Linked DNA regions of Rattus norvegicus. The protein of the gene in region 2 interacts with the protein of the main gene of each other region in a biochemical or structural test. Links are inferred from orthologs where the notes say so. Each region holds a gene or a part of one and is shown on either strand. Other genes may lie near its edges. The genes, in order: Sh3bp5 and Btk.

The links.
Region 1: the proteins of Btk (region 2) and Sh3bp5 form a complex in vitro, tested with the Homo sapiens proteins (2 studies listed by BioGRID, with this or other methods). The link is inferred for Rattus norvegicus from reciprocal best matches to the Homo sapiens genes BTK and SH3BP5.

Annotation. Positions count from the first base shown.
Region 1 is NC_086034.1:6,647,442-6,658,202, forward strand, and holds the start of Sh3bp5 (SH3 domain-binding protein 5), read right to left. Parts: upstream 7,271-10,761; 5' UTR 7,269-7,270; coding exon 7,125-7,268; intron 5,439-7,124; coding exon 5,376-5,438; intron 4,320-5,375; exon of another isoform or gene 1-4,319. UniProt on the Homo sapiens protein: Functions as a guanine nucleotide exchange factor (GEF) with specificity for RAB11A and RAB25. Inhibits the auto- and transphosphorylation activity of BTK. Plays a negative regulatory role in BTK-related cytoplasmic signaling in B-cells.
Region 2 is NC_086039.1:102,042,301-102,052,536, reverse strand, and holds part of Btk (tyrosine-protein kinase BTK), read left to right. Parts: intron 1-5,876; 5' UTR 5,877-5,906; coding exon 5,907-6,047; intron 6,048-6,728; coding exon 6,729-6,833; intron 6,834-10,236. UniProt on the Homo sapiens protein: Non-receptor tyrosine kinase indispensable for B lymphocyte development, differentiation and signaling. Binding of antigen to the B-cell antigen receptor (BCR) triggers signaling that ultimately leads to B-cell activation.

The DNA.
Region 1 (10,761 bases), on a different chromosome or scaffold from region 2:
CAACCAATTTTTATAAAGGTTTTTTTGTACATAAATGTATATATACTTACACATAAAACGTGGAATACTGCAAATCTTGGCCCTAATTAGATTCAGAAATTTGTCTAATCTGTTTTAATATTTGAAAAAAGAGGGGACAGCAAACGAGATAGCTGAGCAGCTGAAGGGGCTGCCAAGTCAGGTGACCCAAGTCCCAACCCCAAAACTGCTCACACGATATGAGAATGGACTCTGCACTTAAACACACAGACACACAGACACACACACACATGCACGCATGCACGCACATACGCATGCATGCACATGCACACTCTCTCAAGCTATCCACATAAAAATAATAAAATAGTATTTTTAAAGGGTCAGGCATGGTGGTGTCTACCTTTCATTTCAGGACTGGGGAGGTGGAAGTAGGCAGATCCCTTTGTGATGGGGCCAGCCTGGTCTACAGAGCGAGTTCCCAGATGTCCAAAACTACATAGTGAAAGAACCTATCTCAAAAAAAAAAAAAGTTGCCTTCATTTTGTTTTGTTCTTTTATTTTTAGATAGTAATGTATCCAGGATGTGGTGACACACCCCTGTGATTCTAGCATCTCAGACAGAGAGGAAAGAGTGCCCGTGTTCTGGTTTACTGTTAGATTTTTAAGACAATGCCATGCTGTAGTGGCGCTTAGTGTGTTTCTGTGTGACACATGGCATAAATGGGAGATAAGGTTAGTTCAATGTTAGTCAGCTGATAATATATTGAATTGCTATTGACTTGTTTTGATTTTTTTTATTGGGATGCGTGTAGGGATTGAAACCAGGGTTTACTAGAAAAGTGACCTACCACCTACATGCCTCCCTGGCCCTTTCTAGATGCTTTGAGACAGGGTCTCAGTTAGTTGCTGGGCTAGCCTTGACCGTTCCCTACAATCTTGTGGGTCTCGTTAGCTTCCTGCATCCAACTTCTAAATAGGAGCAGGGATTGTATTTGGGGCTCCCTGCCTGACAGAATAGGTGTCTCTGTTTTTGTTGAGACAGAAGCCAGGACGGCCTTGAACACATGATCTGCCTTCACCTCCCAAGTTCTGAGATTACAAAATGGGCACAAAGTCAAAACCCATAGGCAGCCTCCCAAGTGTTAGGAGTATCGGCCTGAGGTACCATGCTAACATTCTTACCACAGATAGAACACTAATGGTTCCTAGGGAGGGACAGCTAGGTTCTTTTGAGCCTCCAGTCGTATTTCCATGAGCTGGTCAAATGCCTAACCTTTGAAATGTTTATCTATTTATTTCCGACAGGGACATAGTCCAGTTCTTTTGAACTCACAGTGATCCTCCTGTTTCAATATCTCTTGTACATTTTGTTTTTGTATACAGAGTCTCGTGTAGCCCAGGCTGGCCTCAAACTCACCATGTAACTGAGGGAACCTTTGAACTCTGGATCCTTTGGCCTCTACCTTCTTTTTTTTTTTTTTTTTTTTTTTTTGGAGCTGGGGACCGAACCCAGGGCCTTGCGCTCGCTAGGCAAGCGCTCTACCGCTGAGCTAAATCCCCAACCCCTGGCCTCTACCTTCTAAATGTTAGGGTTACAGAAGCAAGCCTGGCTAATGCATCTTTTGACCACACCCCCAGACCCACACCCCTAGCCCCACATCTCCGTTCCCCCTGATCAGAACTTTGCCAGGGTTGCTTTCTTACCGCTTGCTCCCACCCCGTTCCCCCTGATCAGAACTTTGCCAGGGATGCTTTCTTACCGCTTGCTCCCACCCCGGGGTCTACAGCCTGGTGCTCTCCGGTTGTTTGCCAGCTACCCAGTCAGTGAAAATGGAAAGTCTTTAAAGCAAGGTTTAGTCTTTTCCACCCCACACCCTGACACGAAGCCAGAGGCCAGAGCCTCATACACACGCATGTGATTGGGTTCTTGACTCCAGCTGAGTTCGGAAGTACAGTGGGTCACGAAGGGAGTGTGCGCTAAGTGAAAGTCCTGCGCCATTTTGAAGACTTAGCACACAAACACCTGTAGATGCTGGGGTTACAGTGCTGAAGACTGCTTCCCTGAACCATGCGGGGTGGAGGTGGTGTGTGTGTGTGAGTGTGTGTGTGTGTGTGAGTGTGTGTGTGTGTGCGTGTGTGTATGTGTGAGTGTGTGTGAGTGTGTGAGTGTGTGTGCGTGTGAGTGTGTGTGCGCGTGCACGTGTGTGCATGTGTGAGTGTGTGAGTGTGTGTGAGTGTGTGAGTGTGTGTGAGTGTGTGTGCGCGTGCACGTGTGTGCATGTGTGAGTGTGTGTGTGTGAGTGTGTGTGAGAGTGTGAGTGTGTGTGTGCGCGTGCACGTGTGTGTATGTGTGTGTGAGTGTGTGTGAGTGTGAGTGTGTGAGTGTGTGTGCGTGTGTGAGTGTGTGAGTGTGTGTGCGCGTGCACGTATGTGTATGTGTGCGTGTGAGAGTGTGTGTGAGAGTGTGTGTGTGTGTGAGTGTGTGTGTGAGAGAGTGTGTGTGTGTGTGAGTGTGTGTGTGTGTGTGTGTGTGTCCTCAGCTTCCATCCTCAACAGCATCCCGTGTGCCCACCCCTATTCCTGCAGACCCCTCCCCCAAGTCCTGCAGATTGACCTCAAGGCCTTGGGCTTGTCAGTGAGCATTCCTCCTCTGAGCCACACTACCAGCTCCCAAGTTAATTATTTTGTTACACCGAATCCCTGTTGAATTTATTCTACTGGGGATAGTCTGAGTTAAACAAAATACATTACCACTAATTTCCCCTATGTCTTTTGTAATTTTTACGGAGCAACTAGGGAGCTTTTAAATTGCTTCTGTGGCTTATTAATATGTCTCTGGGTCAGTCCAGGTTGTAACCCTACCAGGGGAAGCCACCCAACAACACACCCAGCCAGGCTGCTCTACTCGAACCTCAGCCATACCATGTAGCTGTGAGCCCTTGGCTGTGAACTGACTGCGTTAGGAATTAACCAAAACCCAAGTGGCTGCGTACATCTGTGAGGGACTTTTTTCTAAATTAAATCATATAAAGTGGGAAAACCCACTTTTTAATCCAGACTGCTTTTGAGGTGAGAAGATCCACCTTTAACCTGGACCACACCTTCTGCTGGTAGCCCACAGAAAGGACTTGGAAGGAAGAGGCTTGCTCTCCTGGCCTGCTTGTTCTCACTCCCCCTAGCAAGTCCACTCCTTCACTGACATTAGAGCCTACTTCCTTAGGACTCCAGTGCATTCCTGAAGACCAGCTAAGACATCAAGTTTTGTGGACTGAGCAACTACTGGATTCCTGAACCTGCCATTGGTAAACAGCCATCGTTGGACTGGTTGGACAGTGGCCTTTAAGCCATTCTAATAAACCCCCTTTCTGTATAGAAAGAGAATCATTCTATGAGCTCTGTTCATCTAGAGAAGCCTGACAAACACGCCAGGGCTCCAAATGTGACCCAGAGCCTAGCAGGAAACACCTGTCCGGGGACTTCCTGTGACACACCAAATCTGTGGAATTCGGAAATCAGGGCTAACAAGAGTTTAACAAATGAACCAACCTAACTTCCAGAAGGCAGGTGCCATGAAGCCCAAGTTATGGGGCTATGAGACCACCCTGTTCACACCCAGAATGGTGACCAACAGTGGATAAGTGAGCAGAAAGGACAGAAGAACCATGGTTGGCCGTCTCTCTCAGAAACCTGATCCTTGCCACCCCCAGCTCTCTGCCTCCATGGTCCCTGATTGCCTGCCTGCCTTCCTGCCTGCCTTCCTTCCTTCCTGCCTGCCTTCCTTCCTGCCTGCCTTCCTTCCTTCCTTCCTTCCTTCCTTCCTTCCTTCCTTCCTTCCTTCCATGAGACAGAGTCGTTTGCCTCAAGCTTGCTGCTTGTGACTATGTGACCTCTAACCCCTGATCCTCCTGCCTCTGCCCTGCAGGTGCTGGGACTGCAGGAAAGTGCAGCAGACCTAGTCAGCTGTCCCTGAGTTCTGTGAACCCGGCCTCAAAAGCCCATCGGCCCTGGGCCTCAGTCCAACACTGCAAACATAAACAAGACAAACTTTCTGCTCAAAACAAGAAACAAATTCTTTCCAACTTGTCCATGTACGTTTGGGATGGAGTCTATGGAGTCTGAAAGTAGCTGGGTACAGTGGCGCAGGCCTGTGACCCCAGTGTGTACACGTGAACCCAGAGTTCAAAGCCGTCCTCCACTGTGTACTGGATTTTGAAGTCAGCCAGGACTACATGAGAATGTTTAAAACACACACACACACACACACACACACACACACACACACACACACACAGAGTGAGAGAGAGAGAGAGAGAGAGAGAGAGAGAGAGAGAGAGAGAGAATATTCAATGGGCAAACTCATGGTTTCCAATTGCCCAGTTTCCCCCTAAAATTGGCAGATATTTATTTGTTTGCTTGCTTAGTGCACTAAGAATTTGAGATCCTCAGAGTTTTCAGTTGCCCAACTTCACAGTGAGTTCTCCAATTCCCTACATAGGTGAGAATGGGAGTCCGTGATAGATAAACGCAGAGAAACTTTAGCCCACACTGCCACATATGGATCTGTGACTTCCAAGGCTACACGCTCTCCAAAAGCAGGCTGCGAGTGAACTCCAGCTTAGTATTTTCCTTTCCCTCACACCACACACCCCGGCTCTGAGGGGCCTGGTGCTCTCCGCTTTCTCCTTGGCCCATCCTGCTCCCTCTACTGTAGAAATTGGTTCTCTCTGCAGCTCTCCGAAGTCCCTTAGCCCTGACAGTCACTCACAGGGGTGTGCTCCCATTGGCTGGTAACCCAACCACTAGAAATTGGTAGCTGTGAAGAATCCCAACTTGTTTACAGGAAGGCTGAAACATTCTCAAGTTCAAATCAAGTCTTATCTCCCAAAACTTTTCCCAGCAGGAAGGCCCTTCCCAGCCCAGACATCTTTTTTGTTACCATTAAGATAATTACATTCTGCACACAGACAGTGGCGGGGAATCAGAAAGAGGGGTGAATCATTAGGATGGCTTAAGTCCGAGGGAACCATAGCAGTTCCAAGCACGAGTGGAATAAAGAAAATACCGTGAGACATAAACTACATTGAAGAGTTCGGCTAAGTCGCAATTCTTTTAGCTTTTCTACAGATACAGGAATATTGGGCCTTACGCATTGTTTAATACCCTGCTCAGCCCTTGATTTTGGTCCCAGTGGAGCCTCCATAATGAAAAACAGCACTTGAAATTGGATCCACACGCATCCGCCCACAGCCTGGACTCGGGTGTGTTTTACTGTCCGGCACACGCTGTCGCTCAACATCCAAGCATGGGCCTCCAGCTATTAAAACAAAACTAAGCAGCCCAGGGTCAAAGGTGACTGACACTGCTTCACCCAACAACAGCGCCCCAGCTCTCTGTACCTCAAGTTCAGTCTCCCGTCTGTTGATGTCATCGGTGGATTGATTTAACTTCTCCAGTTCTCCCTAATGAAGAGAGAGAGGGGGAGAGAGAGAGAGAGAGGAGAGAGGTTACCAGGGCTAGCCTTTTGTCTGTAGTGTAACAGTTACATTTCCCTCGAATGATACAAGCCAGTTCATTCTTCCTGAAAACAGCTGAGGATCGGCTAAAATACAAAGCCTCTGCCATTCCTAAAGTCTTTTGTAGACTGCATCCTTTTTTTTTTTTTTTTTTTTTTTGACATCTTTAAGGTCCTACAGGTTTATCTTTCCCTGAAAGGTCATTGTTTTTTTTTTCCAGGTGAACTCACCTGTTACAAACAGTAATTTAGTCAAAACAGCACCCTTTGCTTAGGAAAGAACTTTTCAAGGAAATCAGTACAGAAACATTCCGACACACTGAAACACAAGGCCAGTGCAGCCGGGCCAAAGGCAGACTTCCAACATTAACTCATCATGGCTAGTTTCCTATAAAGAGATGATTTTGTTTTTCTAACCGCACACACATTATTTGCTCTGCCTACCTGGGTGCTGTTGGTTACCTGGCTTTAATCGGACCTCTTTTGAACATTTGCAACTTGACACTTTGTAAGAAGGAGCTGACATGAGGTAACTCATCTCTACTCTGTGAACAAAGGTCTTGCTAACAAAATTCCACACCAAAACCACAAGATTCTGAAATCCAAACCCAGGGTCTGAATTAACAGAATAACCAATGAGAAGGCTATTTCTGATCTTGAGTGTATTAATTTGACAAAATAGTTAATTTAAGCCCAAGCTGGTGAGTTAAAAGCATGTTTGTATTTCTTTATCTGTGCATTTAAAACCAATTATGGGTCCAGAAATTGCAACTATGCTTAATCGCATTTTTTTAAAAAATGATTTATGGAAAGGGTACCAAACAGGTCGTGGAAAGGAATTTGCTTTGTGCTTAGGAAGGTGAAGAGGTTAAGCTGTCACTCCTGGAAATTGTTTTTTAACTCTCTCTCCTGGAAATGGAGGAGCAGAAAGCCGGGCTTCCCTGCTCTCCCTGCCTCCACGCTTTGCGCATCAGCTGTCCCTGGTGGGTGTTCACACTGACCTCACAAGGAAAAGGAGGGTTTTAAACCAGTCTCGGGCCAAGTGCAACACCATGCCAATGGTGACAACGACATCCACCATGTACTGACAATGAACCAAAAGAGGAAGGTGGCCCAGGCCAGGCACCTCTGCCAGGTGAGGGCTGGCGAGGCGCCCCGCACCGGTGCAGTCTACACTACAGGGGCAGGCGACAACCACCTTGCCCTGCTCTCCCACCACGATGTCCGCATCCACGCAGCCAGGGTAACGCTGCGCAGAAGCTCCGAGTCTGTGCAGTGCTCCCAGCGCGGAAAGCCGCGCCGAGGTACCCCGACTCCGCTCGGGGCCCCCGCCCCCTTTTTCCTTTGTTGCAATCTGCTTGAACCGCTGGTCTTGTTGTAGGGACCCTCGGATTGGGCCGAGGGTCCGCAGGGATCCCCGCAATCATCAGGCCGCCTTCACGCGGGCACCGAAGCCTTCCGCGGGGAGACTGAAATGGGGTGCCCCAACCCTTGGTGCAGCTCCTGGATTTAGGCAGCTCCCACCCCGTGATTGCGAACACGCGGGGCTATAAGGCGAGTATCCGCGTAGGCATCGACTTCCACATCAGCCCTGGCGGGGTGCGGCTGTAGGGTCCTGTCACACGCGTCCTACCTGGATCCGGGGGTCCACCTCTTCCTCCTCCTCCAGGCCCTGTTCCATCCTCTCTTCCTCCTCCTCTTTCTCCTCCGCCTCCCGGGCGGGCGGCGGGAGCTCCACCGGCTCCTCAGAGCGGCTCCGTTTCAGCGCCGTGTCCATGCGGGCAGCCAGGTCGCAAAGCGTGCGCAGTGGGACCGGAGCGCGCTGAGGGCGGCCTCGCCGCAACCGGGTAGGACTGGGCGCGCAGCGCTGCCACCCCGGGTGCTCCGCCAGCGGGTGCCGAGTGATGGAGGAAGTGGGCGCGGCTGCCCCCTGTCTGCAGCGGCCTGCAGCACACCTCGGCCGCTTCGCCCAGACCGCCCTGATAGCCTGTGTCACCCGACGCTCTGTCACAAAAAGCCCTGGAGTCCCGGTCATGGCCACTAGGAGAGACGCCGCCCAGTGGCTCACTGGCCCGCGCATGGGCCGCCTTAAGCTAGCTTCCTCCTGCCTCCAGTGAAGCAGATCAAGGCACAGAAGGAAAGTTCAGGTGATTTCCATTCTCTAAAGCTACTTTTGTGTCTACTTAGTTCCACAGAAAAAGGACCTCTACGGTAAGCTTGTCTGTACAGGAGATAGAAGAAAGCTAGCCTCCAGCCACCGAGTGGACATCCAAAGCCTGGAGTCTGCTGGACAAAGTTCAGCAAGCTAAGGCACGAACTCTTAGGGCCTACCTGGATATCCTGAATGCACGAAGAGCCCATGGAGCTGGGGGAGTGGGGGTGGGGTGGTCTAATAGATCGGGGTGGCTTTTTTTTAAAGAGATCGCACTGCCTGCTCGTGGGTAAGCTTGGCCAGTGTAGGAACTATGTGGTTCTGCCCAACATCACCTAGCTAGAGCTTGCCTAGCCAGCGGGACATCACAAAAGGGCTAACAGTGGAAGGGTTTCCCTGTACGGTTACAGGTGCCGGGACCACGTGAGGTCAGGGAAGACCTGGTCAGATGGCCGAGCAAAGGGAACACTTTGTAGAGGGAAGCTGTGGTCCATCCCATGGGGTTTGGAGGACAGCTTTGTTTGGAGGAGAGAGGAGTTCTTGGGAGCCTGTGATCAAAAGAAGAGTTGCTTCTGCTGCCCCCGCACCCCCCCCAAGCAAAGCAAAAGGGGTCACTGTTGGGCAAGGCCCCACCCCTGTTTGATGGAGACGGTCCAGGTGTGTTCCCTAGGTTTCTTTCTAAAGAGATCACACCTCTTTGTTGCTGGTACCTTGCTGGCCATTCTGGGAGAGGTGATTTAAAGTTCTTTGCTAAAGGTACAATTCCAAGGATAAGGCCGGAACATGGCGGCCATTAAGGATCAGGCGGGCTGGGCAGTCTCGTCTCAGGCTCTCACGGGCTGAACTGGGTTTCAGCCAGGTTGTTCCTTCCGCAAGCTCTGAGGAAGAATGACTTTCAAATTCATTTAGTGTTGGTTAACCTCAGGTCTGGGGATCTGGTTTCCTTGCTGACAGCCAAGGCCAAGAATAACAACCCTGGGGGTGTCCGCCTCTTTTCTCCCATGGCGGGTCTTCTTCAAAGCCAGCACCAGAGAATCTCTCTTGTACCACAGGCCTCACGTGCTTCAGTCTCTCTTTCTGGAAGAGCCTGACCCTGTTTCCAACACTCCCCCTGATTAGGTCAGTCTACTGACTTGCCATCACTCACTTTGAAACAGCCTCAGCTCAGGCTGCTGTCAGGTTCTCATGACCTGGGACTGGCCCTGACCTTCTGATTTTCCTTCCTCTGTCTCCCAAGTGCTGCAGTTTTAATCAAGCGCCCCTGTACAATTCAATATACAACTCTCTCTCTCTCTCTCTCTCTCTCTCTCTCTCTCTCTCTCTCTCTCTTTCTCCCTCCCTCCCTCCCTCCAGTTTTTCTTTTTTCGGGGGTGGGGGGTGGGGGGGATGGGACACGGTTTTCTGTGTAGCCCTGGCTGTCCTAAAACTTGCTCTGAGGACCAGGCTGGCCTAGAGCTCAGAGATCCCCCTGGCTGTCTCTAGTGCTGGAATTAAAGGCATGTGCCACCACTGTCTGGCTGGCAGCACCCTACTTCCACCCCCCAAGGTCATTACCACATGGACAGAGTGACATACTCTTTGTATTACAAGTTCTCAGACTTATACTGGGGTAACCCCACCAGGCAGCAGGAAACACTTTGCTAACTACTCCACATACTGAAGGAGGACCCTTGTTGGGGAGGGCTGCTGTGTCAAAATACCACAGCTCCTAAATGGCACCCACTCCTGATTCTGTAAGCCAGAAATCACAGGACAAGATGCCAGCAAAGTCAAGAGCTGAGAAGGGCCCTCCTGGGCTTGTAGACTTCCATCTGCTCAACGAACTTTATGTCAGAAAGAAAGCCTTAGGAAAACTCTGTGGTCTCTTTTTATACATATATTAATCCCATTTGCTCAGACCCTCAACCCTCCTGGCCTTATCACTTCCAAAGCTTCAATTTACTTCCTAAGACTATTTGGAGTTAAGAGTTCAGCATGGGTGAACAACCTGAGGCAAGTCCCAGAGGATCACAAGTTCTAGACCAGCCTGAGCTACACAGCCAGAACTCAAAACAGTGGCTGCTTACCCCTCCCCCCAGCACCCTGTGGGCTAGTCCCAGTTGGCGTAGCTCTGGCTGGGATCCTGTTGGCCACTTTAGAGACTTTGAGCTTAACTTTACAGTTTGAGATGCCCCAGGGGCTGGTTAGGTAAAGTACGCTGTGATGATCCTTTCCTGGATCTGCGTTTGGTCAATTTCAGGAAGCACCGACTACCCGATCACAATGTGTCGTTCACATCATGAAAACAGCTCTCAGTGCTTTGTCCAGTAACCTGTTTCAGGGGTGGCAACCCTGCCAGGCTTTCAGAGGCTCTGAGAGGAGGGGCTTTGGGGAAATGATCCAAACACGCAAGTTCTGCCTCTGCCACTGGGATGGCCGTAGATGACCCCAGAACCTGACGAGACTGCTGGAAGGTAATGGAGTTGTGGAAGTTGCAGGCTAGCTGAAGAAAGTGGGTCAGTGGGGAGCGTATCTTTCCCTTCCTCCTCTGCTTCTCGGCCACCGTGAGGTGAACAGCCTCCATTATCTGCTCCTGACGCCATAATGTTCAAGGCTTGCCTCAAGTCCAAGGCATGAACTAAAACTAGGAGCTAAAGTAAATCTTCCCTTATTTCTCTCATGTATTTGTCACAGTGATGATTAGGGGCTGGAGAGGTGGCACTGGGTGATATTCTAGGGCAGGGATTCTCAACTTTCCCAATGCTGTATAAGTCTTTAAAACAGTCCCTCATGTTGTGGTGACCCCAACCATAAAATTATTTTCATTGCTATTTTATAACTAATTTTGCTACTGTTATGAATCATAATGCAAATATCTGATACCCAGGATGTCTGATATGTCACCCTGTGAGGGTCGAGGCCCTTTCGATAGGTTGAGAACTGGTCAGACAGAATTGAGACAGAGGACCTAGGTTAATTTCCCAGGACTGCACGGCAGTTAAGAATGTCTCCAGTTCCAGGGGCTCCTGATGCTGTCTTCTAGCCTCTGTTGGCTAGAAGGCACACATGTGGTATACAACATACAGAACACCTATACACATTAAATAAGAAAAATTTAAAAAGTCTGATTAACACAGGT
Region 2 (10,236 bases):
TCAGGTTATTTGAACCCTAGCTTTTCTCACTGCTGACCCTCACCAAAGTGAAAATAAAGCCTGACTCCAAAAAAGAAATTTAGAGAGTTATGAGCAATTGAGTTTTAGACAAATGGAGGATTAAAATAAACTCGTTTAGTGAAAAAGTTAGTGTAGAATAAAGCCAGAGTTTTTTTTTTTAATCACTGAAAGTGACATGAAAATGAAGTAAAGATGTAGAGGAAAAGAACTCAGTCTCTCAAAGCCTGCTATTAGGAGCAGAACTTGGTACACTATCTCTGGAGGCAGTTTGGCAATATGTAGAGAAATGCAAAATGCACACACAATTTTTCACATTTCTGTATATATATGCATATATATTGTGGTGTGTATATGTGTGTTTATGATATGTGTGTCTGTTTCTGTGTACATGGTGTGTGTGTGTGTGTGTGTGTGTGTGTGTGTGTGGTTTTTTTCATGGTGTAGATGTGTATATGTATCTGTGTGTATATATCAGTACCTGTATGGTGTGTGTGTGTGTCTGTATTTGGGTATGTGTGTGGGTATTTGTGTGTGTGTGTGTTTGTGTGTGTGTGTGTGTGTGTGTGTGGTGTGTCTGTATGGTGTGTACACATGCACAAGTATGTGCCGACGCCTTCAGAGAGTGTCAGAGTTACAGGATGCTGTAAGTGGCTTGATATGGATGCTGGGAACTGAACTCCAGTCCTTTGGATAAAGAGCAGGCACCCTTCTTACCTGCTGAGCCATCTCTCCAATTCCTCCTCCTCCTCCTCCTCCTCCTCCTCCTCCTCCTCCTCCTCCTCCTCCTCTTCCTCCTCATTTCTCTTGTTATTTAGACTTTGAGACAGGGTTTCGCTGTGTATCCCAGGCTGGCCTTAAACTCACTATGTGATCCTCCTGTCTCAGCCTCCTGAGTGCTGAGAGGGCACTCATACTTCATAGCCATGGCTAGGAATAATGGTAAAGAAAAATCTTAGAATTGTTTTTTTTTTTTTGGCAAGAAGTATGTTGCATGGCAGGATGAATGGATATATGGATAATTTTAAACATAAGTAACCTATACATGATATGTGCAATATGATTCCAAATCTAAGAAAAGTACACAGGAAAAAACAAAAAGATGCCACGATTCAAATACATCTATATAGGAAGTTTGTGGTTGATTTTTAAATTTTTAGTATCATTAAACTTGAAACATTTTCTACAATGAATTTGCATTATTTTGATCTAATAGGGAAAAATAAATGTTTAACCAAAGGGAAACAAAAAATCATTTGAAAAATAAGCCAGATATAATGGAAATCTTCGTTATAAATCTGTTCACCTGTTGTGTTGACAAAGTAAGTATTTTTCAGTCAAATTTGAGCAGTGTTTCCTGAGAACTTATTGCTAACATTTGGGTTGCCTTGATACTATGAGCCTGGCATTGTAAAGACATTTCTTCTGCCTGGGCTTGATGATATATGCCTCTAATTCTAGTACATGGGGACGCAGAAGCAGGGAAATTCTGAGTTTAAGGCCAGCCTGATCTACATAGTGAGTTCCAGGATAGCCAGGACTATGTAATGAGACCTTCTCAAAGAAAAGAGAAAGGAATAGAAAAGAAAAGAAGAGAAGAGAAGAGAAAAGAAAAGAAAAAGAGCTACTGGGTTTAATAGCACCACATAAATTGGGTGTGGGAATGCAGGCCCATAATCCCAACACTCAGTGCACAGAGGAAGGAGAAGATCAGAAGGCCATGGTCATCCTTGACTACATAGGAACAGCCTCAGCTACATGGAACCTTGGTGGGGTGGGAGGAAGAAAAATCAACCTAAATCAACCTGGGAAGTAATAGCATGCTACAGAAACTGCAGGAGCTATAGATGGATGAAGATGGACAAGGTACACAGGCTACACATATTAATTTTATTATGTTTGTTGTCAAGAACCAATGAAATAACCCATGTAAGATGTTGGTCAGAAGTTGGGATGTGTGGCTCAGTGGTAGAGCTCTAGCCTAGCCCGCACAAGGTCCTGAGCTTCATCCCTAGCACCACAAACATAAACGATAAAATAATCTAAAGTGACTGACAGCTAGATGACACTAGAACAGGACTTCTTTCCTTTTTGTTTCATAAAGAATAGAAATAGCCAGATGCTTGATGGCCAACTATCAAGAGCTTTAAAGGAGAAATAATGAGAAAATGCTACTTCTTTGATATTCTGGTTAAGTAGTTCTGTTGGAGTACTATTGACTCACAGCTCTCTCATCAACTCTCTCCAATCGTAGGTGAGCTGGGTCATTTCCTCCATATTGCTTCAGTTGTTTCTAGTAGTATTTCATCTTACCCTAAGCAAGGATAATTGCCAGTAATGATTTCATTTATTGATTCTTCAAGTGCTATTGATATTAATGCTTTGGCATGGTGCAGGTTGTGTGATAACTGAACTCTGACTAATAGGCTTCCTCTTTTTGAATTCTACTGCTGCATATAGAGCTGAGAGGCTGCAAAAAGGTGCCTATGTGTACTCCTTGTATTTGGATTTTAATAATGTTACAACACTGAAACTATGTGTCACACCAACAACTCGGATTTTCTCCCTTTTCTTTCTTCCCACCTGTATGAAGCCCTCTCAGTATATGTGACATTTCTGTTACTTCAGTTTCCACTGAGTCTCTCACCCCTTGACTAACACATGCAAGGTCAGCTCTCATCATGCATATTTTTGTGTGTGTTTGAATGGCATCTATTAGCCAATGAAATCACTAGAGGCAAAATTAGAGCTTCCCACAATAAGTAGCTCCAAGGCTCTACCTGTTATCTTCTATATTATTGGCTGGTGGACCAGAGGTACCTAAGAAGGAAGTACCTCCTTTTTAGGCTGTGTGAGTCTGGATTGCATTCTAAGGAAAGGAAGAAGAACGAAGGGATAGCAAACCATGGACATTGCAGTAACCATGCAGTTCAACGGTCTAGAGGTAGAGGCTATCTTACTCCTCGCTCAGAGTGGCATAGTGGCTTACTTCCTCATATTAGACTAGCACTAAAGCTTACCTCGACACAAGCACTGTACAAATTGGATTTGTTCAAAGAAGGAAGGAAGGAAGGAAGGAAGGAAGGAAGGAAGGAAGGAAGGAAGAGGCAACAGCAGCACATGTCTTATAGGACATTAGAGCAGGTATCAGGACTGAAACTGACAATGGGTCTAAGCAGGAACGTGTTCACTAAGATCATACAACATAATAGAAGGTAAAAAGGCTCATGGTTCCTTGGGATGCATTTGACCCTCTACTGCTCATGCTACTCAGTTTCCTTAGGGTTTTATTTTGCCTTCTGTAATTTGGGTCTTTGATTATGAAAAGACACTTGATTGTAATTCATCATGAAGCAAGAGTGATATTATCGCAAATGGCTTAGCAGTCAATAAGTAATAATGACTTATTAGTTGCAATCAATAAGTGATAATGACTTATTAATTACAAGCAACAAAGTGATAATTACTTAGTAATTATAATTAATAAGTAACGATGACTTATTAATTACAATTACTAAGTAATAACCAAATGATAAGTAATAATAACTTATTACTCCATGACATAGCAATTAATAAGACTAGAGTATAAGGTTTGCTGTGTTACCACTGCTTGTCAGTAATTGGAGAATTATGCTATTAAGCGAAAATTTGGAGGTTGGCTGAAACTGAAGGTAGGACTGACGGCTTGTCACTCTGGTGGGAGTCCATTTTAGGCAGAGGGCAAGAAAGGGGACTTATGTAGCAAGGTGAAGGGAAGGGTTTGCATTTCTGCATCATTTCTTTTTAAAGATTACTAACAAAACACTAACCTGAGCTGGAGAGATGGCTCAGCCATTTAGAGCAATGACTGCTCTTCTAGAGGGCCTGAGTTCAAATCCCAGCAACCACATGGTGGCTCACAACCATCTGTAATGAGATCTGATGTCCTCTCCTGGTGTGTCTGAGGACAGTGACAGTGTACACAGATACATAAAATAAAGAAATAAATCTTTTTAAAAAATTAACCCAACCCACTGCCAGAAGGCTGCAGCAACTGTGCCATAGACAGAAAGCAGAGATCATTCTGACAGTCTCTGAAACCATTTTTGTCTTCTTAGCATGGTAATAGAACTGTCTGGGGTTGGGGATTTAGCTCAGTGGTAGAACGCTTGCCTAGCAAGTGCAAGACCCTGGGTTTGGTCCCCAGTTCCGGAAAAAAAAAAAAAAAAGAACTGTCTACACCACAGGAAAGGGCAAAACAACTGTACATAGCACCAGGCTTTAATTAAAAACCACCAAACCAAACCAAACCAACCCCAACCCCCCCTTGTTCTCCCTCCTTTAAAAAAAATCACCTTTTCAGAGGAAAAAAAGTAGAAGTGCTGACTTTACTTTTTTGGTTTTTATAGTGCCACAAAAAGCAAAAGGTATTTCGTGAGAATAAAATTTCACACTCCTTCCAGGGAAAAGGCCTCTGATTCTAAGCTAAGTTCCAAGGAGATATAATGATTTTTTTGTTACTCTGTGGTCCGTTTTTATGACTATCATCTTTTCACATATGTTTCTAATGAAACTTTAGAATTGGCAGAATTGTGTGTAAACTTTAGGTAGATTGAGGTAAGAGTGTGTGTGTTTGCTCACACACATACGAGCGTGCGCGTGTATGTCTGTCTGTCTGTCTGTCATTCTTGAGCTGTGCTTGGTGTGCATACCTATAGTCTAGATAGCACTGCAGATGCTGAAGCAGCAGAATTGGTCTGACGTCTGGGCCTGTCTTGGCTTCCAAATGAGTGGAAGGTCAGCATGAGCTACATTGGGGTTTCAATCCTCAGCACCACAGAAAAGCATTTGATGGCTTTGTGGAATTTTCTGGAGAATTCTAAGCATATTTCTCTTCCTAAATAAGCACAGCTGGCATCCTTAAGAGTAACATAGTTACTTTACTTTTTAAAAAAATATATGTGTTATTTTATTGTATGGTTATGAGTGTTTTGCCTGTACTAACATATATGCACCACTAGCATAGTGGATGCCCAAGGACAGAAGAAGGCACCAAATATCCTGAAACTAGGGTTACAAGTGTTTGTGAGCCATCATCTGGGTGTCAGAAACTGAATCCTGATTTTCTGCAGGAACAACAAGTGCTTTTAACCACTGCTCCATTGATACATCACTTTTACCTGGTGCCATCTGAAAGAAACCATCTAAGGAGAAGGGAGAGGGAGGCCGAAGGGCTAAAGTACTGTAGGAAAGCTGGTCTCAGCTTGAAAACAAAGCTCTCCTTTATACCCTGGTTAGCAGGGAGTGAGCTAAGTCACCTGGCTGGCAGTTATTGTGTGCTCATAAGTACAGGTGAAGCCTCCATGTCTTTTTAGCTACAGACCTGAGCGGGTAACTTTCGAAAGATTACATCATTGTTTAAGATCCTGGGAACTGAAAGTTCAGTGTGTGCCTTAGTGACTTCTGGTACTTGAATTCTCCCTTTGAGCATATCAGGGTCAATGGTTTCACAGAAAATTTTGCAGTTTACAGATTTGGAATGTGCCATAAAAGGGTAAATAGTGTAACGTGGTGTCTAGATATTCCTGACCACCCGAGGGCACACTGTTGGCCTACAGAGCATTCAGTTCCCTTACACAAGAAGCCCAGTTTTATAAACTCAGCACGTAGAATCAATCCCCTGGTTAAATAGTATGCATTCACTGTACTTGAAATTTGACCAAGTTGGGGACTGTGAAAGAAGATGTTCAGGCAGAAATAAGGCTCCTTGCTAGTGCTATCTATTTGTGTTTTGTTTACAACAGGTAGCAGGGTTAAGGCAGAACCAAGTAGGACAAAAATGACTATGCTAGAACCTTAAAACCTTTTACTATCCACAGCACACAGACAAGTTCCAGAGAGAGGAAGCCATGGCTGCTGTGATACTGGAGAGCATCTTTCTGAAGCGCTCCCAGCAGAAAAAGAAAACATCACCTTTAAATTTTAAGAAGCGCCTATTTCTCCTGACTGTGCACAAACTTTCATACTATGAATATGACTTTGAACGTGGGGTAAGTTTCCCAAATTACGAAGCGCAAATTTCACTATTTCAAGGACATAGTCTTGGATCTTCTGTGAGACACGAGATATGTCTTCCATGGTAGCAAGGGTTGGTGGGTAGGAATTAAGTAAACCTAAGTACATCAAACTCAAAAAAATATTTCCTAGCCTAGGAGGAGGTACAGTCATGCCAGGGAAAAAAGTCAAGGGTGTTAGGAAGCTATTCAGAATGTCTTACCATGGGATTGTGTGGTTGGTAAGAACTCACTATATGCTTGTTGAGAATAAAATCCAAGAACTTGACATCGCTTTTTTATTTCTGTGGCAAAAATGCATATAATCATTTATTCTTCTATGTTATCTGCTTCCCATTTGGTATTTAAAGGTTAGATAAAATGTTGGATTTTTTTCAAACTAACAGGTTCTGCCAGGCACAGTGACACATACTTTTACTCCCAGCACTCGGGTTTATGTAGTGAGTTCTAGGCCAGCCAGGGCTACATAGTGAAACCTGTGTCCAAAACAAACGAACAAAAACAAAACAAAACAAACAAACAAAAAAACCAAAAAAAGGTTCTGTTAGGTTGCAAGTACCACCTCACCACGACAGTGACTAGATAACAGTGTGTAAATATCTGGTTGCTTGATCACTCGTAATCTTCCTCCATTTTCTTCCTCATTCTTTCCTTCAGAGAAGAGGCAGTAAGAAAGGTTCAATAGATGTCGAGAAGATCACCTGTGTTGAAACAGTAGTTCCTGAAAAAAATCCCCCACCAGAAAGACAGATTCCAGTTCCGGTAAGATGAAGCTTGTGTCAAAGAGGGGGAGCTACAGACTGTAAGGCGCTTGAAATTCTCAAATACTCCAAATACAACGGTGGTGGTGTAGTGCATTGTTTTGTTTCCTTAACAAATTCTTCACAGGGAGCCAGCAAGATTGTTCAGTGGGGAGGGGAACTTGCTGCCACACCTGATGACTTGAGCTCCATCCCTGAAAATTGTCCTCTCACCTCCACCTAAGAACTGTGCCTCATATGTGGACACTCGCGCACGCGTGCGCACGCATACACACACACACACACACACACACACACACACACACACACACACGAAACAAATAGCAAGAATGCAAGAAAAATAATTGTTTTCATTCAGGCTGGATATGGTAAAGTGCTTGCCACAGCAAGCCCAAGGTCTTCAGAATCCCCAGAATTCACCTCAAGCCAGGCCTGGCAGTGCATTTGTAAACTCAGCACTCCTATGGCAAGATGGGAGGTGGAGACAGGAGAATTCCTGGAAGCTCAAGGTCCAACTAGTTTGACATATGCAACAGCTGAAAAAGTGACCTTGTCTCAAAGAAGGTGGGAGGCGAGAACTGATACCCGAGGCTGTCCTCTGACATGCACAGGCACACTCCTGCAAATACATACATACACATACATACATACATGCATGTTTTAAAAATTGCTTTCCTTTTTTGAAGATTTACTTTTAAATATGTGTATTATGTTTATATGTGGCTATGCATGTTATATATATATATACATACGTCTATACATACATATATATACACACTCATATACATTATATAATTAGAATATAATATTATTATATACCTTGACTTATTTTCTTTGGGAAGGGGTTGGTATTTTAGATTTTTTATGGGTGTGTGTAGCATAAGCTTATGCAAATACACATGAACCTGTTTGAGTGTATGTGGGAGCCAGGGGCCTTTCTCTGTCAGTCACTCTCCTCCTTTTCTGTGTAAACTTTTAAAATTATATTTATCTGTGTGTGTATTATGTATGTATGTATGTATGTATGTATGTATGTATGTATGTGTGTATGTATGTATGTACTCGTTATTTATTTGAGACAGAGTGATTGCTAGCCAGGAATACATTATGTAGACCTGCCTGAATTTAAACTCAGAGGCTCACCTGCCTCTGCCCCCTCAGTGCTCGGATTACAAGTGTGTGCTAGCAGGCCTGGCTGCACTTAGTTGTTTGTTTGTTTGGTGCATGTAAGTGGGTAGGTTCAAACGCACCACAGCATAAATATGGAAGCCAGAGGTCAACTCATGGAAATCAGGTCTTGCCTTCCACCATCAAGTTCCTGGAGATTGGACTGACGTCACCAGGCTCGGTGACAAGTGCTTTGACTCTCCGAGCCATTTGGGGAGCTGGAGTTACAGACATTTATTAACTGCCAAGTTGGTGTTGAAAATCAAATCCAGGTTCTCTGAAAAAAAAAACAGCCATCTCCTTAGAAACTATCTCCCTATCCCCCCTTTAAAAGGTTTACTACTTTGTGAATGTTTGTGTGCATGTATGTGCACTACATGCATGCCTGCTACCTGGTGTCAGTGGAGGCCAGAACACTGTATAAGTTCTGCTGTTTTCTGGGTCCCCTGAAATTGAAGTTGCAGGCAGTTGTGAGCCTCCATGTAGGGCCTGGGAACCAAATCCTGGTCCTTTGCAAGATTAGCAAGTACTCTTTGCTTTTTCTGGATTTTCAAGCAGGTGTGTGTGTGTGTGTGTGTGTGTGTGTGTGTGTGTGTGTGTGTGTGTGTCCCTAGCTCCTGGAACTTATTCTGTACACCAAGCTGGCCTCAGAGTCACAGAGATCTGCCGGCCTCTGCCTCCCTAGTGCTGGGATCAAAGGTGTGTGCCCCAAACATTTTTTTAAGGTATTTGAGTGTTTTGCCTGCATGTATGTAAAGATGCTGTGTTTGAATGTCTGGTGTGAATGGAGGCCAGAAGAGGGTGTCAGAGTGACTGGGCCTAAAGTTCCAGGTGTTTGTGAGCTGTGATGTGAGTCCTGAGATGTAAACTGAGTCCTCTGCAGGAACAGGCTCTACTCTTAATTGCTGAGTCATCTCTCCAACTCCAATAATGCTTTTATTATTTTTGTTTATATTACATTTCATTTTCTAGACGTTGAAAACTACGTAGGATGTATTTCTCTCCCCATTCTCTATAACATGAGATATTTCAAATAATAGTTAAATTTTCAGAGAAAACATATTTTATTGCTGACTTATTTTTACCGATAAGATTAAACAATAATGTGTCATTTGTGAATTGTATGTTTCTATTTGACCACTTTTTTGAGGTATTTACTGAGTTTCTCCCACTTTCAAAGGCATCTTGATATAAGACTATCAGTCCTTTGTTAATATTATTGTGTTGAAAATATTCTTCCAGTTTTTTAGTCTTTGAATTTGGTTTTGGTTTATTTTATTCTGCCCATGCCTCTTTCCTTCCTCTTGCCTATCTGTCTCTCCTCCTCTTCCCCCTCTTGCCCCTCCCCCCCTCCTCCTCCCCCTCCTCCCCCTCCTCCTCTTTCTTCAAGAAATGGTCTCTGTATGTATTTCCAGATGGCCAGGCTGGTCTTGACCTTATGGAAAGCAGGTTCTGTCTCCCAGATAGTAAGATTAAATGTATATGCCAACACATACAGCTCTTTCTTTCTTCTTCCTCTTCCTCTTCCTCTTCTTTTTCTTCTTCTTCTTCCTCCTCCTCCTCCTCCTCTTCTTTTTCTTCTTCTAAATTTTCTTCTTCTTGGATATTTTATCTATTTATATTTCAAATGTTCTCCCCTGCCCTGTTTTCCATATCCCCTCCCCCTGCTTCTGTGGGGATGCACCCATTCCCAGCCACCCACTCCAACTTCAATGCCCTGGCATTACCCTACATTGAGGAAACGAGCCTTCACAGCACCAAGGGATTTTCCTCCTATTGATGCTGGACAATGCCATCCTCTGCTGCATATGTGACCTCTTTTTCTGTTTGTATTTTTGACAGTCTGACAGTCTCCCTCTGTAGCACAGGTAGCCCAAGTTGGCTTAAACTCCCTCTGTACCCAGGCTCCCAAGTACTGGGATTACAGCTGTGTACCATCACACCCACATCCTCATTTCTCTATAATTGTTTTTTTGGCAGTGCTGGTACTTGAATCCAGAATATCGTGCATATAAGGCAAGCACTCTAGCAGTGAGCTACAGCCCCATCCCATCATGCTTCTACTTTCATCTTATTTGCTTAATTCTATCCGAACTTTACATTTGAGTGTGATGTGAAATAGCAATCTAATTCCTAATTGCTGAGAAATTACATTTTTGCCAATGTTTTGAAATGCCTATGGATCTATTGGAATGGAAGTAATCATTAAGAAATTATTTTGGTCCCTGGAGAGATGG